2 linked regions of the Oryzias latipes genome follow. The protein of the gene in region 1 purifies or fractionates together with the protein of each later gene. This does not show direct contact. Links are inferred from orthologs where the notes say so. Each region holds a gene or a part of one and is shown on either strand. Other genes may lie near its edges.

What was found.
Region 2: the proteins of plcg2 (region 1) and tyrosine-protein kinase Lyn purify together in Homo sapiens (affinity purification with western blotting; 3 studies listed by BioGRID, with this or other methods). This does not show direct contact. The link is inferred for Oryzias latipes from reciprocal best matches to the Homo sapiens genes PLCG2 and LYN.

Annotation. Positions count from the first base shown.
Region 1 is NC_019864.2:27,975,537-27,979,362, reverse strand, and holds part of plcg2 (1-phosphatidylinositol 4,5-bisphosphate phosphodiesterase gamma-2), read left to right. Parts: intron 1-1,381; coding exon 1,382-1,468; intron 1,469-1,654; coding exon 1,655-1,824; intron 1,825-1,932; coding exon 1,933-2,133; intron 2,134-3,129; coding exon 3,130-3,252; intron 3,253-3,826. UniProt on the Homo sapiens protein: The production of the second messenger molecules diacylglycerol (DAG) and inositol 1,4,5-trisphosphate (IP3) is mediated by activated phosphatidylinositol-specific phospholipase C enzymes. It is a crucial enzyme in transmembrane signaling.
Region 2 is NC_019875.2:19,364,206-19,368,500, forward strand, and holds the start of tyrosine-protein kinase Lyn, read right to left. Parts: upstream 3,026-4,295; 5' UTR 2,382-3,025; intron 1-2,381. UniProt on the Homo sapiens protein: Non-receptor tyrosine-protein kinase that transmits signals from cell surface receptors and plays an important role in the regulation of innate and adaptive immune responses, hematopoiesis, responses to growth factors and cytokines, integrin signaling, but also responses to DNA damage and genotoxic agents.

The sequences.
Region 1 (3,826 bases):
ATATTATTTAACTTGTCTGAATTTTATACGTGAAAAAAGCGTTTCGGCGTATACGAGAACACTTGATCAAACCTTTTCCTCCAGCTTTTCTGCTCTTTTAGGCTGCAGGAAGAAAAGCTTTGTGGTTCTGGTCTTTGTGGTTTTGTGCTGCAAAGAAAAACCGTAGTGAATTAAGTTAAATGAGCTTATACACTATCAAATGCAAGCTTGTATTTTTGTGTATGTGTGGTAATGGCCTCCAAGTGATGTGATAAAAGTATTTATGGTTATTTCATGATAAGAAAGAGGCAGTCCAAGGAAGTGAAAGGTTTTTTACTGTCAGGATGAGGCTAATTCCTGGAAGAGGCTTCCTTAATGCTTTATGACTTTACAAGGACACTTTAATTACTCTAATTTGTTTGTGCTTTACTTCCTTAGTCAGGGGTCAAATAGGGCATGTGAATGGTCCATTAGTACAAGTGGATGGACATGTGTCATAAACAATCAAAAAAGGCTGCTTCTTTTCTTTGTTGCACTTATGAAGCATTTATTTTATGTAATTTTTCCATTTCTTTGTGTTTCTTAATCAAATTGTGAACATTATTTTGGTCTTCTCTTTGTCACCCGGTGTATGTTTATATAATTTATTAAAAAACATTGTAATCGCCCATTGGAAAGATGAAAATTTCAAAAAAGCTCGCAATTCATCGATAAAAGAAAATTTCCACGTGGAGGAGGATTTTTTTTTAAAAAGAATTTTTAGGCATACTTAAATTGACATATTTTGCAAAACTGCAATGGAAACACTTTTTTGGAACTAAATGAGTCACGTGACTTACAACCAGATACCACACTGCACAGTGGGCGCCACCACAGGTCCCACAGCGTCACACAGCTCATCCAAAGTTGAGCGTGTCATGTGGAATTGTTGGATCCACAGCTCCTCTGTAAAATCCCCAACCACCATTTCCCAAAATGGCTTTATCCGTAGCCCCTCCCACGTGTAAGGAGCTCGCCACTCCATAGCCTGAAGAAGACACCGACGTCTCCTTTGATAGATGATGATTAGCGCTAGTGCTAGTACTAGCGCTAGTATCATGTGACTTGGTTTGTGTTTATTTGAATAATTATAATTTAATGGTTACAGTGTGATTGCGAAATTGTGGTTTTTTTAACATTTCTAAAATTTCAATAAATTTTTGCGGATATGTGTAACGAAAACGCAGCAAATGATTGTTTAACATCAAACTTCAACCCCTGACCGACCAAATAGCTGCCCTCCAATTTGATGCACGTAGCTACAGCTACAACCAATCGTCTTCAAAAAAGGAGTTCTTCGAAATTAACCCATAACCATGATCTGATGTGTAAAAATGACAGGGGGTTCCCATTTTTTTTCCAGCGGTGGAACAAGCACTACTGTGTGATCTCTGATGACAAACTGTACTACGCTGAAGAGTACGAGCAGGAAGAGGAAGATCCCAAGAAGGTAAAAGTCGCTCAACTGAATATTTGAATGTACGGAAACAAACATGAAGTATCTGAACATGTTTTTCCCACTGGACTGAAAATAAACGCAGATATTTGGAACAAAAAAAGTACCAAATTGAGAAAATTATTTGACGTCTGTCTGAACAAATCTTGAAGATATTTTGTGGTTTGTTCCGTCCCTCAGTACCAAGACATGCACTGTTCGGAGCCGTGGTTTCATGGTCAGATGAAGGAGGGCAGGCAGATGGCTGAGCGGCGGATCCATGAGTATTGCACAGAGACCGGGAGACGAGACGGTACCTTCCTGGTCCGACAAAGTGACACCTACGTCACTGACTATACGCTGTCATTTTGGTACATGTCCGCTTCTTTATGTCACCTCTAAATGCAAAGTCAAAGAAGTAGCATTCCTTTAGCAACCTTAAAGAGGCAGAGAAAGACTTTTACTTGTCTGTTCTGCAGGCGGGGTGGGAGAGTCCAGCACTGCAGGATCCGCTCTGGTTCAGAGGGGGGTCACACGTACTTCTTCCTGACTCCAAACCTGCACTTCCCCACCGTGTACTCTCTGATCCAGCACTACAAAGACATGCCGCTGCGCTGCCAGGACTTCGAGCTGCGCCTAACCGACGCCGTGCCCAAGCCGGACTCTCACCTCCAGGAAGGGTTCGTCCTGCAGCATCAGCATCAGTCCTGAAAAAAAAGAAGAAGAAAATAAAGATGACATCACAGCAGGCAAAACCATAAAAAACATTAAGGCGACCGAAATCTCCTATTGGAGTATAAAAGTAAAATCCACTAAAGAAAACCCCCAAAAACATGTTTTAAAATTATTATGGGATGGTCACAGGACCTACGGCCATTTTGTGGGAATGTGTGGAATTTGGCAATTTTAACATTTTTGCACAATGTGGGGGAAGAAAACTTTAGTTTGAGCAATCTTCACAAAATTTCACACACACATGCCACCAATTTAAGTCTACGACCGCAACTGAAGTTTCATTGACCTTTGACCTCAGGAAGAAGCAGCCATCTTGAATTAAGAATAATAATAAACATCTTTAGGACCTTCTACAAATGTAAACTCCGCCTTTGGATTTCCATCTTTCATCTCCTAACTCCTCGAGCATCATTAGGGAGCTACTTGGGGAAAAAAATGTTGCATTTAAAGTTTGTTAGTTTTAATAGTAGCAAGCCCACTAAAGTGGCGTTTGCTTACTGCTTGCACATTTTCTTCCGGAATTTTGTAAAAATTGGATGCATGAATCCTTGGCTCAAGTTGGACAAAAATGTATAGCGTCACATATGAACATATTAGGAATGTGGGCGTGGTAAAAAAAAAAAAAAACTCACTTTGCCAAGGCAATTCAAAAATGTACTTTTGTCAATTCTTCTAAAAATTTGATCTGTTCGTCACCCCCAGGTGACCCAAAACAACGGTTGCCATGGAGATAAAACCAACAGAAAAGCTGCCATTTTGCCAGTAGGGTCAGCCATGAAGGCGGGTCGCGCCTGCAGGCCATACAACGCCGCTCACGGCTTTAATTATTGTTTTACTGGAACATGAATAAAATCCCATTTTAGTTAGTAGAATAATCGGGAGTCAATTGCTTGTTCATAGCCAGAATGATTCATGGGCTGTGTTGATGTTTTTCTGTGCAGATGGTTCTACAGTAACCTGAGCAGAGGCCAGGCAGAGGATTACCTTCTGAGGATTCCCAGAGACGGAGCTTTCCTCATCCGACAGAGAGAAGGAGAGCCAGACTCCTTTGCCATCACATTTAGGTATGAACAGAGTGTTTTTTTAACCATGTAAAGGTAAATGTTGATGTCTGAGCCCCATCATGATTGTAACAAATACTTATGACATATTGGTGATATAGATATAGTCCTCATAAAGATATTGATTTTATTAAACTTTTTTTTTTATTTCTGTCATATGAATACTTTTTTCGTCCTTGTTTTTCTGAATTGTAAATTATTTAAAGACTATTGTTATTAGCGAGTGTTTATTTGATTTGTCTGTTGTTGTTTTATACCATAACTGAAATATGCAAAACCTAACCAAACAAATAGTTTTGTTAGAGAAACCCTCAACAGCTTGAAAGAGAAAAAGGGCCGTTGCCGAAGCCAATTTCTTCTTTTTTTAAATATATTTTCACTGCAACTATTACTGTAAACATCTCTCTAAATATTGCTCCAATTTTTTTTTTATCTTGCACCTTTGGGGGTTACTATATTTTCTCTAAATCCTTTTCTAAACAATACACATCTTTAAAAATCATATCCGGTAAAAATTATTCATAATTTTAATCATTTCCTTCCCGCTACCGTTTTGTTTGAAACATACAAGCTGCAA
Region 2 (4,295 bases), on another chromosome or scaffold:
TATTTTTAAGTTACAAAGTTCAGAAAATTCAACCACAGGATTAATTCCTCCCCATCAAAGCAAATTTGTATTATTTTATTTGGGAAGTACAAAGAAGTGACACTTTTTTTCACATTAACATTAAAAACTTTTATATTCAGATTAAAGAAAAATGGAAATCACTAAAAAACTATTAAAGCCAAGCAGTTTTATGTCAAAACATATGAGAACAGAAGAATAATGGCGTTCCATCACCTGAAATTCATGCCAGGCATTAAACTATGTTGGTATTTTTTAATAATTTGGATAAATACCTTTATCTAAAGTAAATAAACTTGAGTTAATCTTTTAAATTCAAACAAACAAGCAGTGATCTATAAATTACCAAATTACATCATACGTTTATACTAATCAAATATTCACTAATGGAAAGATATGTTAAAAGAAATTCCCAAAAAATCCCTTTACTTTTAGTTTAGTTTCCATCAAACTCTATAAGCATGATCACAAGTGACACTTTAACAGCCTTACACACATGTAAACAATGTATTTGATCTATAAACAATCTATAAAATAGCATTATGTAAAGGATAATCCCTGTCTGTCTGTCTCTGTGTGTGTGAGTGTATATTTGTGTGTATATACACACAAAGTTAGTCTTAAATTAGGGAATCAGAAGTGTCAGGAAATAAAGAACAACAAAAATGTAAAACAATCAATTATAGTAGCGTTAAAACTAGCAACACAGGACTTTTTTGTGTGTTTAACGTATTCAAAAGCTCAGGTTTACATCTGCAAGGCATCTGAATTTGAAATATAAATCTTGAAACTGTCTAAATATAGATTGAAAGGGTGATTTTATATTGTTATCTAACTTTTGGACATGTCTTTGTGTATCGATTAGTATAAAAGTGCGTCCAAAAATGGCTTTTTTTTCTGGATAGCGTAGAGGACCAGCGAATTGCTGTAAGTTCCTGGTGTTACGCTGGCTTTCATGCCACACGACCATGTGGTCTGAAAGTACCTGTTCATGTCCTGCGGGTGCATTGTGTGCTTGTGTCTGTCATAACTGCCCATTTTTAACTTTCTGTTTCTGTGTCATGTTTTATGTGGAAGGCTGAACTAAGCTTTGTTGAAGGGTTTGCTGTTGAAAAAAGTCTCCCAAATACCTGTAGGGTTTAAACAGTAGAAGACAGGAAGTTATTTTTCCATTCAGTGGTTAGAGCTGCCATATTTTCTGATATGTGCTGACACAATAAAAAAGACCTTTTTTGAGAGTTTTACATTGTTTTCTAAATCAGATTATTTGAGTCGCGTGGATCATTTATAACATTGTTCTTAATTTTGATTATTAATTCAGCCTCTAAAGATAAGAGGAGCTGCTGTTCTCCAACACAACCCCCCCAATTCAACCATAATGATGAGTATGTTAAGAAGGAAGACATCAGGTGTCATTTCAGGTGTGGTAAATGTTTTTGTTTAATACTCTATGATAATAAATCATAAAAAATAATACATTTTTATATATTAGATACATTTCTGAGGATTTCTTTATTCAAAATGTGGTGAATCAGGACCAGACGAAAAAAACGCAGTTTGAAAAATAGCCTATTTGGGTAGTGATCTACCCTGCGCCGAAGGGAAGGGGGGGCGGGGTTGCCTCACGCCAACAGTCCTGTCCACGACTCAGAGTTTCTAAAGAACTCCTGCTGCTCTGCAAAAACTATGTCCTAGAAAACGGCACAGATTTTGTTAGGATTTTGGCTAAAAACGGCATATTATGTTACGATCCGGGGCAAATTGTCCCGTTTTTGGGAAAAAAGAAACATTCAAAATATTTTTTTCACTTTGAATCTTTTCATGCTTCACTTGTTTAGTGTAATCAGCATACAAAATCAAAATAGTTCAATTACTCTGTGTGATTGAAATTGAACAAAGATCAACACTGTTCCTCAGAAATTAACAGACCTGCTTCCATCTTTTTAAGGTTATATTTCTTATTTTATATAATATCAAAGTCATATTGCAAATAAAGTAAAATTCTGAATTTGAGGCTTCTGATCCACTTTAGATTTTATGTCAAACCAAGTGAAATTTGGTTTGATTTTTTTTCTTGTCTTTTTAGATGGTCTGGATGTAGGTCTATAACCCCCCCACCCAGAGTCCCACTGAATGACACACTTCCCCTATCAGTAAACGAGGGAGAGATACTAGGAAGTAGAAAAAGCAGTGGACGTCAAGTGCCAATAAATGACAAATCTGAGAGAAAAGCCACTTAAAACTGTTCAAAGGTCAATCTTTTCCAGAGCAAACTGAAACTCATTTAACCAGTCACATATATGTGTCCTACCTCAGAAATGATGTAAAATGAGCATTTTGTTTAAAAAATGAACACATCTTACCTGCGAGTATCTGTATGGCTGTTTGATTAGCTTTCCCTGTATGTGGAAACCCTGTAGTCCTCAGAAACCTTCTTTGTGCTCCTCATCAGAGTAACCGCAGGCACGTTGGCTTGTCGAGTGGGTCAACAGCCTCATATGCTGCTGCTGTACCAGAATGAGGAACTTACGAGCAGCTGGCCGGGGCTTTTTTCTTTCTTTCTTTTTTTTTTTAACCAATACTTCCTGGTACAATTGTCTAATGATTATTTGCATAATCAGCAGCCACACTATTGCAGAACAGATTTTCTATTTTTTATGGGTTTGACCAAATTATTTTTTACAAAATATGTTTAGAACTGTTTATATTTTATAAAAGTCATTCCAAATAAAAAGGTAAATGCTTAAATAGAAATTCTTTAAAAGTTTACTTGAATAATTTGTTTTAATGAAAGTATGCAACAGTGACATCTTGTGGCGAAACCGTAAAAGTGCAATTATGGATTTATGTCTATGACGACTCTCATTCATCCAGGTAGATTCCATCATAGTAGCGGGTTTAAAGGTTGTCATCTAGACTTGGTTTTTAAGGTTGAAGATGTTTCACCTCTTATCCAAAAGGCTTTGTCAATTCTGATTATATGTACTCATGGGGGAGGAGTCAGAGAGAAAGGATGGTTTGAGCGAGGAGTGAAAGAAGCCATCTTTGTCAAGACAGATAAACCTTCTCTTAATAAGAATGGTGGTCTCAGGTTTATTCTTCCATCCATCTACAGCAGTGTTCTGAAACCCAAACCAGTTCCAACTGAGTCGTTAACAGCTGAGAGAGATGACCAGGCTGGGGAGGGTAGCCACTGTCTCCCCAACTCCAGCTGAGGACAAAGGACTCCTAACGACCCAAAACCTAGTATTCTAAGTAGACCATACTATCCAGTTTCAGGTCTGACTCCTCCCACCATGAGCACATATAACCCTTGTGCTATCCTAGGCCATTTAACATTGGGAGTTGGGTCATCTAGACCCACTAGACAGTGCACTGAACCTTTTTTCTTCAATGATTTGTGATCTTCACTGGTGTCCATGGATTACATGAAATCTTTCCACCTTTATCCACCTTTGTCATGGTAGGGAGAACACATCAATGTAAGGGTGGGGTCATCTAAGATAGCACAAGGGTTAAACCAGCTCTTTTACCAGCTATTTCAGAATTGACAAAGCTTTTTGGATGAAACATCTTCAACTATAAAAAACGAGTCCAGATGACAACCCTTTAAACCTACTACTATAATAATGGATTAAAAAAATGTTTTATGTGATTTTTATTTCTTTGTGCTGACACCAAATGTAGAAAATGTGTTTACAGTGAGCTGGACAAAGACTTTCAAACAGGATCGTGCTCCTTTGCATGCTTAAAGTGGGATCTGCCGGGTTTCCACAGCCCCACACACGTTTACAGTTTAACAGTACAAAAAGAAAAGCAATATTTCATCCCTCATTACATTATGATGACTCACAGTTCAGACAGGAATATTGGAGCAGAATCACAAAATGATTGCTGTGTCCGAATTCCTTCACTTTAGTTCACTATATAGTGCGTGGTCCAAATCTACAAAATCCAAACTCCAGTGTCCTAGAAATTTCACGAAAAACCGGTATGTGCTCATTAGATTGGCAAATATAGACCACAATGCATTGCATTTGAATGATTTTTCATGTTATTTCCTAAAAAACCATCCATGTTTTCATCATCAGAACAGTGGATTCATATTTTGTTCGCATTTATCAGGGTTTTACTTCGGGAAATTGCTGATGTCATATTTGCCGTTTAAAAACAAAAAAGTAGTGAGCATGGTGTCCAAATAGCTTCTAAAATCCAGAGCACTACATGGTCCCGCACTATATAGTTCTATATAGGGAGTTCGGACAAAGCTGATGATA